Linked DNA regions of Ovis aries. The protein of the gene in region 1 purifies or fractionates together with the protein of each later gene. This does not show direct contact. Links are inferred from orthologs where the notes say so. Each region holds a gene or a part of one and is shown in the gene's direction. Other genes may lie near its edges. The genes, in order: USP4, CTNNB1 and EDC3.

Evidence for each region.
Region 2: the proteins of USP4 (region 1) and CTNNB1 purify together in Homo sapiens (affinity purification with western blotting; 3 studies listed by BioGRID). This does not show direct contact. The link is inferred for Ovis aries from reciprocal best matches to the Homo sapiens genes USP4 and CTNNB1.
Region 3: the proteins of USP4 (region 1) and EDC3 purify together in Homo sapiens (co-immunoprecipitation; 3 studies listed by BioGRID and IntAct, with this or other methods). This does not show direct contact. The link is inferred for Ovis aries from reciprocal best matches to the Homo sapiens genes USP4 and EDC3.

Annotation. Positions count from the first base shown.
Region 1 is NC_056072.1:50,848,546-50,851,397, forward strand, and holds the end of USP4 (ubiquitin carboxyl-terminal hydrolase 4), read left to right. Parts: intron 1-1,240; coding exon 1,241-1,329; intron 1,330-1,724; coding exon 1,725-1,883; 3' UTR 1,884-2,287; downstream 2,288-2,852.
Region 2 is NC_056072.1:13,860,780-13,864,434, forward strand, and holds part of CTNNB1 (catenin beta-1), read left to right. Parts: intron 1-692; coding exon 693-796; intron 797-910; coding exon 911-1,249; intron 1,250-1,505; coding exon 1,506-1,664; intron 1,665-3,655. UniProt on the Homo sapiens protein: Key downstream component of the canonical Wnt signaling pathway.
Region 3 is NC_056071.1:31,688,290-31,691,944, forward strand, and holds part of EDC3 (enhancer of mRNA-decapping protein 3), read left to right. Parts: intron 1-1,312; coding exon 1,313-1,648; intron 1,649-3,655. UniProt on the Homo sapiens protein: Binds single-stranded RNA. Involved in the process of mRNA degradation and in the positive regulation of mRNA decapping. May play a role in spermiogenesis and oogenesis.

The DNA of each region.
Region 1 (2,852 bases):
GCTCAATTGCTCTACATACGTCTCATTGGCTATAACTTGGTCACAGGACTACCAACTAGCTGTAGAAACAGGTGGGAAAGAAAAATTGTGCCTGTCTAAAAACTGGGACTCTTCTAGAGTGGCTACTTGCAATACCTGTGATCATACCACATCCTATAGCACTTACTCTTCTCTAACTTTTCTTTCTCTGCAAATTAATTTTGATATCTGTATTCATTCATACTGGACCCCTGTATTCATTTTTAATTATTTTAGCATACAGACGTACTGCTTGGGCAGGTTACTTAGCTTCCTTATGCTTCAGTTTCCTTATCCAGGTTAGGCTGGTTGTGTGCAGACCCACACTGGGTCCACAATTGGAACACCGTGATTGAGAGCCATCTTTGTTGCTGTTCCGCCAAGCATGGACAGCAGGGTCAGCCCCTTGGCACCTTCTCTGTCACTTTGTCCTGTGTCCTTCACCACCGCTTGGTGCAGTAAACACTGCAGTGAAGAATAGTTAAACAGCCTGCCAGAGCCACACAGCAGGTCGAGACCAGAAACCGGATCTCCATCAGACTGAGTCGTTTCCGAGAGTCTGAGTGAAGCAGGAATCGGGTATCACTGCTGAGACTGTTGTGAACACATCTTGCTCAGAAAGTGTAAAATCAAAACCGGAAGTGTTCACTCTGGAAAATACTTGGACGGGTGTGAGGAATTGTTACTGAGCCACAGATTCTTGACTCAAGAGTTTCAAAGACAGATAAATTTAAGTTTTCTTGTTCACATCCCAACTCTGCCAACCCAAGCCCCCAGTGTGTCTCTCACTGGGATAACCCCACAGGCTCCAGAGGCAGTGAGAGACAATAGTAGACTGTCAGTCCTGGATACAGTAGGGGTGTTTGACTTGGCATGTTTTTGACAGCTATTGTTTTGCTTAAATCTTAAAAAGTATCAGCTCCTTTTATGGGTCCCCTAACTCTGAATTAGTGCTCATGGCTGTTTTCCCCAAAGTTACAGTATAAAGGCTTAGTCCCCAGCAGCTCCATTTTTACCCTTTTAAGTGCCTTTTTGAGAAGGGAAGATCTTACTTTTTTTTACGGATGAGTTCTCTTTTGGTTGTTAGGACACAAGCTGTAAATTACCTTTAATTTCAGACTCTGGATATGTGTCATGTTTTGGAGTTGTTGAGTGCCAGCCTACTGAGCTAGCCAGATCACCTCTCTTGATGACCAGCTAGCATATTCTCTTCCCTTGGCAGACACTGCGTACGCGAAGAACAAACTGAACGGGAAGTGGTATTACTTTGATGATAGCAATGTGTCCCTGGCCTGTGAGGATCAGATAGTGGTGAGTAGGCCCTCATACCTGGTTCCAACTCTTACCTTTAGGGATTAGAGCTGGGAAGAGTCCCCCAGGCTAGTTGGTTATTGAGTCATCCTGCTGGGACAGTGGGAACTAAGTGCGGTAGAGAAAGAATTGACTATCGTTCCTTCCGGGACCCTTCCTAAAATGAGACACTTGACTCTCCCGAGTCTGTCACAGGGCTCCTACCTTTCCCGGCACCCTGGGCATGGTCAGCATGAGCCAGCCTTAGGTGGTACGGCTTTCACCATCACTTCAGTGTGTGGATGCGCAGGACAGCGGATCCCTGAGGGTGGTGTGTTTTGAATAGAGACCAAAGCTTGCGGGGAATGGGTGATCGTTCCAACCTGTGAATGGATGTTGTGCCTCGTGTGTTTTAGACGAAAGCAGCTTATGTGCTGTTTTACCAGCGTCGAGACGATGAGTTTCATAAGACACCGTCACTCAGTTTTCCTGGCTCTTCTGATGGCAGTGCAAGACCAAGCAGCTCACAGCAGGGCACGGGGGATGACGAGACTTACAGCATGGACACCAACTGACCTGCCCAGTGCCCCTGCACCACAGCACCAGTGCCACCCCCCAGGAGAACACCTTTGACACTGAAGACTGCTAGTGTGCCGTCTAAAAACCAGATGAGGAAATTTCCTTTTATGAGCAGAAGAAAAAAAAAAAAAAAAAGACCCTGTTTGCTCAGAAGGGTTATGTCAAGAGGCTGAATTATTTTTTTTTGTACAGGTGGTAAAAATTTTCTGTAAAACAGGTAGAGCTCCAGAGTTGGGGTTGGCGGTGGGGAGCACACAGTGGAGAGTGGCGGATTCCAAAGAGTGGAGAGGAACACACTGTCATGGAGTGGGGGGCCGCCCTGCCCTCCTGGATTTCGGATTCTGGTGCTGGTTACTGGTCCTCCCAGTGGTCTACCCACAGTAAATCAACCTCAAGTAAACTTGATGTCGTCCCCTTTTCCCTTACTGTGCACCGAGATAGGTTTATAATACCAAAAAAGTAGCCACTGATGCCCCTTTCTGTTTCCCTTTGAGTCACCTTGAATTGCCAGCTTCCTTCTCCCTAATGATGCTTGGTGGTAGGCTTCCTGCCCTTCAGTCTTCTGTGGAGCCTGGCAGTTCTGTTCTGTTCCCAGCATCCTTGATGAATTGAGACTGTTGGATATGGTCTGGCACTTGTACTAGGTCTCACTTAAATATCAGGACACGACACTGCTGGGCGCCAGGTCTCCCGCAGCCGTCTCTCTCCGGGTTGGCTTCGGAATAGGAGCTTTCCTGGGCTTGGAAAGGGCTCCCGTTCTGCCGGGGACTTTGGTTAGAAGTGAGATCCCCGCCCCTCGGCCTCGGCCACGACCCCTGTGGTCTGATTTCCCCACCCTTTCCCCGGGGCTTACGGCCATTGTTGCTGTCCCCTCCGTGCGTGCGTGGGCCCTCTGCTTCCCTATCACGCTGCGTGGGTTCAAAGAACGAGGTCATCCATGCGTCCCTTGTCTGACCTTTAACCCT
Region 2 (3,655 bases), about 37 Mb from region 1:
GGTCCTGAACAAGAGGAGGTTGTGAATCTTTGAAGAGCATCTTTTGCCTTTAATACAGCCCCCGAGAGTAAGCATTCTGGTGCTGTCTTTTTAGACTGTGTTTCCACCCTGTGAGTTTACATGAACTCCTTCAGGGATTTGCTCGGATGGCACCTTCATAGTCAGGTATCCTGGTTACCCTACTTTAAACTATAGCCCCCTCCTTTGTCTTTGTTGTTTGTACACTTAACACCATTTGACATATAGTTTTAGCTTTCTAATAGTGTATTTGTTTATTTTGTGCTTCCAGCTAGACCACAAGCTCTATGAAGGTATGACTTTTAGACTGTTTGCCTCCCTGACACAGCTCCAGTGCAAAACAGGGCCTGGTATTAAATATTCCTGAAATGACTGGATGAAAGGAAATAAGTAATAGGAGTATTACCTACAGGGAGACTGGAGATAGTGAAGGCTTTTCCACACAGGGAAGAAACAATAGATACATAAAACAAGTTGTCCCTAACTGAGGTGAATTAGAAAAGAGAGGGAAACAGAGCAGCATTCCAGAAAATGAAAGAAAATAAAGGACTTAGATGGAGGGGATAAGCTTTGGCAACAAAGAAGGATATCCTCTGAGACTAAAGTACACACTTAGTACTGATAGGAATTGTGAGCTAATGGCCATCACCTTAGATGTTTTTTAATGTTTTTAGGTGGAATGCAAGCTTTAGGACTTCACCTGACAGATCCAAGTCAGCGCCTTGTTCAGAACTGCCTTTGGACTCTAAGGAATCTTTCAGATGCTGCAACTAAACAGGTACTTTCGGACTCTAAGGAATCTTTCAGATGCTGCAACTAAACAGGTACATTCAGAGTAGATTGGTAAATGTCAAGCTGAATGTGTACTTAGTGTCCGTTTTCATCTCCACAGGAAGGGATGGAAGGTCTTCTTGGGACTCTTGTTCAGCTTCTAGGCTCAGATGATATCAATGTGGTCACCTGTGCAGCTGGAATTCTTTCTAATCTCACTTGCAATAATTATAAGAACAAGATGATGGTGTGCCAAGTGGGTGGCATAGAGGCCCTTGTGCGCACGGTCCTCCGTGCTGGGGACAGGGAAGACATCACTGAGCCTGCCATCTGTGCCCTTCGTCATCTGACCAGCCGGCACCAGGAGGCTGAGATGGCCCAGAACGCTGTTCGCCTTCACTACGGACTACCTGTGGTGGTTAAACTCCTACATCCACCATCCCACTGGCCTCTGATCAAGGTAAACTGTCAAAGTTGAAGGTTGCAGAATTGAAAACAGACAACTTCTGACTATTACTAGCAGCCTGTCTCGGCGCTGGGGGCTGGCTGATGAGGAGCTGCAACCAGGAAATACGGGTGGGATGAGGGTAGGGGTTTAAAGTGTTTGTGTCGTCCGTTTCATCCAGGTGATAGGGATGGATTTAGTGTGGTAGGCGTTTTAGACTAAACATGACTTTGTTGTATGCCAGTTCTCCACTCTTTCTTCTTACCTGCAGGCTACTGTTGGGTTGATTCGAAACCTTGCCCTTTGTCCAGCAAATCACGCGCCTTTGCGTGAGCAGGGTGCCATTCCACGACTAGTTCAGTTGCTGGTTCGTGCACATCAGGATACCCAGCGTCGTACATCTATGGGTGGAACACAGCAGCAGTTTGTGGTAGGTCAATCTTAGTAGTGACCCCTGGCCTTTTAAAAGGAATGCGTAAATCCATAGGCTCCTGAACTACTTTGGTCATTGGCTTCCTCCATTCTCCAGCTTCCTGAAGGGCTGCTTGCTATTGGCTTAAAGAACCACCATGTCTCTGTGGCTGCGGAGAATGAAAGGAGGAATATGGCCCCTGGTGATAGTTCCCTTGACATATCCTTCACATCGCTGCCTCCTCAATCTTACAAAGGGAGTGTGGGGTGTGATTTACTCCTATGGGGTCTCATCTTGTCCATACAAAAGGTTCACCTCTGTCCAAAGTAGCAGAGGCATTAATTTGAATCCAAGTCTGTCTGATTTCGGAGCCTGTTATTCCCCACTGCAGTTCTACCTATAAACATATATTGTTAAAAGTTTATTTTTAATGGGAGTGTAACTTCTGTACCATGTTGTGGTGATTTCCGCTGTCCAGTAGCATGGATCAGCTGTGAGTTTACCTACATCCCCTCCCTCTTGAGCCCCCCCACCCCCACCCCTCAGGCTGAGCTCCCTGGGGTATTCAGGCATCCTCCCACTAGTGAGCTGTTTTACATGTGGTAGCGTATATATGTCAGTGCTACTTTCTCAGTTCATCCCACCTTCTCCTTCCCGTTAGGTCCACCAGTTCTTCTCTACCTCTGTTCTTGCTCTGCAGAGACGTTCATCATGTAGATTCTATATATGCATTAATCTACGATGTTTTTCTCTTTCTGACTTCTTTCACTCTGTATGACAGACCCTAGGTTCATCCACCTCACTACAGCTGATTCAGTTTCGTTCCTTTTCAAGGCTCCTGTTTCACCGTATATGTCTACCACAGCTGTTTTATCCATTCATCTATTGATGGACATCTAGGTTGCTTGCATGTCCAGGCTGTTGTAAATAGTGCTTCTATGAACATTGGGATACAAGTGTCCTTTTGAATTATGGTTTTTTCAGGGTATATGCCCAGTAGTGGGATTCCTGGGTCATAACGGTAGTAATATTCATATTTTTAAAATGAATCTCCATACTCGTCTCCATAATGGTTGTATCAATTTATGTTTCCACAAACTGTGTAGGAAGATTCCGGCATTTATTGTTTGTAGATAACTATAAATATTTAACACATTTTTTACTGTCTTCCAAGAGTGGTTTAAACTATTTCCATGGACTTACAAGAATATCAACAAGAATAAGTCATGGTGTTTCAGGGATCTTTACTTGTAATCTTAGCCTGAAATTTTTGTTTCTAATAGTCTGAAACGTTGATGTCAAGTTTTCAGTCTTAAAAGTAGCTTCATTATTAAGTAAAGATTTATGATTCCCCAGCATGTGTTTTAAGACTCAGAGTCTCTTACTTGATCACGTTAGAGAACAAGACTTTCCAGAATAGATCTTGAGATGTCGCTAGTTGTGATTAGAATGCACTCATAGGGCACTTGGGCTTTCTCCACTCAGTACTTTGGATATCGGCCGGTCTCCATGAGGTAGCTTAACAGAATGCAAAGGGTACCTTTTAAAATCTCTTCTCTGGGAAGAAAGGAGCTTTTGTGTCATAATAAAAGTAAAGTTGGATATAAAAGCTGCAAATTAGCAGTAGCAAAGTTATAACCTTTTTTAAAACTCAGAAAGAGGGAAAGCAGACTGTAGTTATGTTTTGCAAAAGCTAACTTCGTTATCCCATATAGGCTATCAGTTGAAAAGTCTTGGAGGAGGTGAGTGGATTTTCTCCTGCCAACTCAGTAGACTTTTAGCAGTAGGTGGTAAAACTTTGCTAAATTTTCACCAGGTACACATAGGTGTACAAAAATCGAGGGAGCACCTGAAGGGCAACACTGACACAGTGCCTGCACATTTACTCCTTTCTTCCCTCTTCCCAGAGTGCTGGGCGCCTTATTGGGAAGAGTGATCTTTGGGAGTCAGAGGTACATTGAAGCTGTACTTGGCTGTGCAGTTTTGGAGGTGCTGTTTGGAATTAGTGC
Region 3 (3,655 bases), on another chromosome or scaffold:
GCATAGCCCTTTTCCATATCAATATTTGGCACCAGGAAGATTTAGACATGAGTTACATATGCATAGTATACATCTTGCAGAATAATTGTAATTAATCTTGCTGATGTGGATTTATTCGTTAAATATTTATTGACGGACTGCTGTGTACTAGAAACCCTGTTAGGGGTACCACAGTGAGCATTTTGCATACAAGGAAATTGAGAAGTTGAATGATAGATATAAGATTATATAACATGTTAATAACGGAACTGAAACTAGGTCCTAGGTCTCCTGACTCATGGTCCACTGGATAGAAGGGAGTTGCTGTGAGAAGTTAGAGCAGTATAGTTGGGATGATCTGTATGAGGGGGTTTGCTCATGATCATCCTAACCTCTACTTGAGTGTTTTAAAAATTGAGGAGCTCAGTCTTACAAAAGGAAGTACATTATGTTTATTCAGACTATGTTGAAGGTTCCATTTGGCATACCAGTCACCTGGTTCATCCTTTTGGGGTGGTCAGATGGGGATCAAACTATAAATTCAGTTCAGGATTCTCTGGGATGGTGTGGTTTGGAGAATTCTGTGGGGTCTTTGCTGCTGGAGGAGTAGTTGACTGACATGTGGTGGCCAGATAGAGTCTCAGAGACAGAGAGTGACTTGAGTGCTGTGGTGTTGATATGCACCTTGGTATGGCCTCTACAGGATTACGTCAGTATGGTCCTTGTCATCATTTGATGGTTCAGAAATTGCTAACCCAGAGTGATAAAATTTTAAGAAAAGAGGTCACCAGAAGATCTAAACACAGGCCTGTAAGTCAAAATACATCAACTTATAGTGACAGATGTATATCCGTCTCAAGATCTGTAATCTGTCTAAACCCAGGGATTCCCTTCCTGCTGAGGTCTAGCCTGAGACTGAGTTAAAAAATCAGAAAATGGCTTGCTTGGTAAGCATGGGATTCAGAGCCAGTTGGCCAGAATCTTTCTTTGAACTTCAAGTTACGAGGACTTGGCCTTCTTTTACTCTGGTTATTTCTCTCTTAATCAATGGCTGGACATTCAGAATCAGACCACCTGGACTTGTGTGGAGAGACTGCTGTATTCTTGCCCTCCACTTTTTTGATATAGTCAGTTGTCAAAAAAGCCTTGATCATTACCAATTCCTTTATGAAGGGCAGAACTTCAGATTTTCAGGAGTACTGTGTATTTCATATTCACTGTTACTTGGGTACTTTATGAAATCTACTATTCCATGAGATTTGTGGTAATTTGTGTTCCCCACGGAGCACTTTGTGTGAGCATACTGACTTTAGTCCCTGTTTTTTTTCTGCAGGGTCATCTAGTAGCAGGCACCCAAACCAGGCAACTCCAAAGAAAAGTGGCTTAAAGAATGGCCAGATGAAGAATAAAGATGATGAGTGTTTTGGGGATGATATTGAGGAGATCCCAGACACAGATTTTGATTTTGAAGGGAACTTGGCCCTTTTTGACAAGGCAGCTGTGTTTGAGGAAATTGATACCTATGAGAGGAGAAGCGGTACCCGTTCCCGGGGCATCCCAAACGAGAGGCCTGCTCGGTACCGCCACGATGAGAACATCCTGGAGTCAGAGCCCATTGTCTACCGTCGGATCACAGTGCCCCACAGTGTGAGCAAGGAGTTCTGCACAGGTACGTTAACCGCACACCCCACTGGCTATTCCTCACCCCCGCCCCACTTTTTTTTGGTGCTTGAATCAGAGAGATGCAGATTCTGAGTCAGAGCCTTGTAGTAGGAAGTGGCTTAAGTGGCATGGTCATTGGCCCATTATATCGTCTTTTAGAGATTGTGGCCAATTTATCATCCTGCTTACTGCTCGATTGGGATGGGGGCTGATTTTTCTACACACCCATTTATATCCTGTGCCTGGCAGGATCTGGTCTGCTGTTTATTAAGTAGGTTATGGTTAACAACTAAAGGCATAGAGGCTAACTCTTTAGCTTGACATACATAGTTAGATCTGTTTTCACTTTGGCTTTCCTATTACTGCCTGTAGATTTTACCAGAATTTCAGCTGTTGCGCTGGTTGTTTGCTGGGGTAAGAAATGGTCAGAGCTGAGTGGTTGAAACCATTGGCTAAAAGTAGGGTTTCCATAAATTACCTTTGTGTACTATACTGTCCTCATCTCCTGCTGGCCCTGGTCATTAAGGAGCTAGTCATAAAGTTCAATGACAGTAATCTTGTAGTAGTACCTATACTTGGTACCTTGGTAGTTATGTATAGGTCACTGTGTCTGTTAGCTCAGTAATTTTAAAGTCTTTATCTCTCTTTTAGCATAAGAAACTTTTCTTCAAATGTGGCCTTTGAGGCAGCTGTGGGACAGGTGGTCTGTGTCATCCCTGTCTCTGTCCCTTCCGCCCAAACTTATTAACTTGGCTTCTTGGAATACAAATAGAAACTATCGTTATTGAGTGATTTGGGAGCTAAAGGGGGAATCATGTTCATTTTAATAAGGATAATAATCATTTTGGCTTGAAGTCTTGAAAATAGGGTAGCAGTAGCTTGAAAGCTAGTAGCAGTTACGGGAGATTTATGGAGACAGCATAATTTCATTTTGGGGAAAATCAGATACGGTGTGGCATTTTTGTAGACATCAGTGGGGCTCTGTTGTATTTGGTTTTGCTGGGTGTAAAAGGTTCCATGTGAAAAGAAAATAAGCAGATTGTCAGTAAAAGATAGAAATTAGTAGTTTTTCTTAACCTTTCAGACTCTGATAGGCATGCCTCTTTGCTAACGTAGATTACTTAAGTGATACCAGCAGTGTGACTTGATGGATTCCTTTAATTTTTTCTTTTTTTTTAACCACCCATGTTAAGGCAAATAACTTCATTCAGCAGGCTAGCAGTATACTTAGATCCTGCCACCCATCCACTTTTGACTGCTCTCCTTTTTACTGCCCTCAGTGAAAAAATAAGCTGCTTCTACTGGTAACTCTCTGGAAGCTGAGGTGGTTGGCTCATGCTGTATGTGACTTCCTGGAGGTTCCTAAGCTTGGGGAGATTATGGCCTGCCTCAGAGTGAAGTGGCTAAAAGGGAGACAGTAGCTGCAAAAATCAGGAAAGATTCTCAGATCCAAAAGAACCTAAAAAAAACATTTGCCAAGGTAGACAACAGGAGACGTGGGAACTTTTTCTTACTATGTACTTCATTTTCCCAGCTTAGTCTTCATACTTTGTTTAATTTAATGAAAGAAATGAAAGTTCCCTCCTCTTATATTTTTAAATCACAATTGTGATTAACAGACATACTGCAAAGCACATGTGCTAGACGTTGGCCAAGAACTCAGGTATGGCGGCTTGTGGTGTGTCGCAGCCAGTTGGATTTCACTGGAGCGTCGACATTGAGGGGAGAAGACGTCCTGTAGCGTCATCTGTCTGGTTTTTCTCTTTGTTCTCAGCAGTGATAAGGAGTGAAATTGAAGTCCTTTTGTCAGGCAGGGTCTGTGCTGGAAACAGAGTGAGCACGCAGTTATCTTGCTGAGCAGTTTCTCCCACAAGTGATTTTGTCTCTGCTCCGGCTTCAAGGCACAAGTCTTGAAGCAGGTTTTTACTCAGTGTTATTCACATAGTGCCTGGCTGGGGGCACTTCTCCAGTTGGATCTCCTATCCAAATGTTAGTATAAGAATAAGGCGGCTGC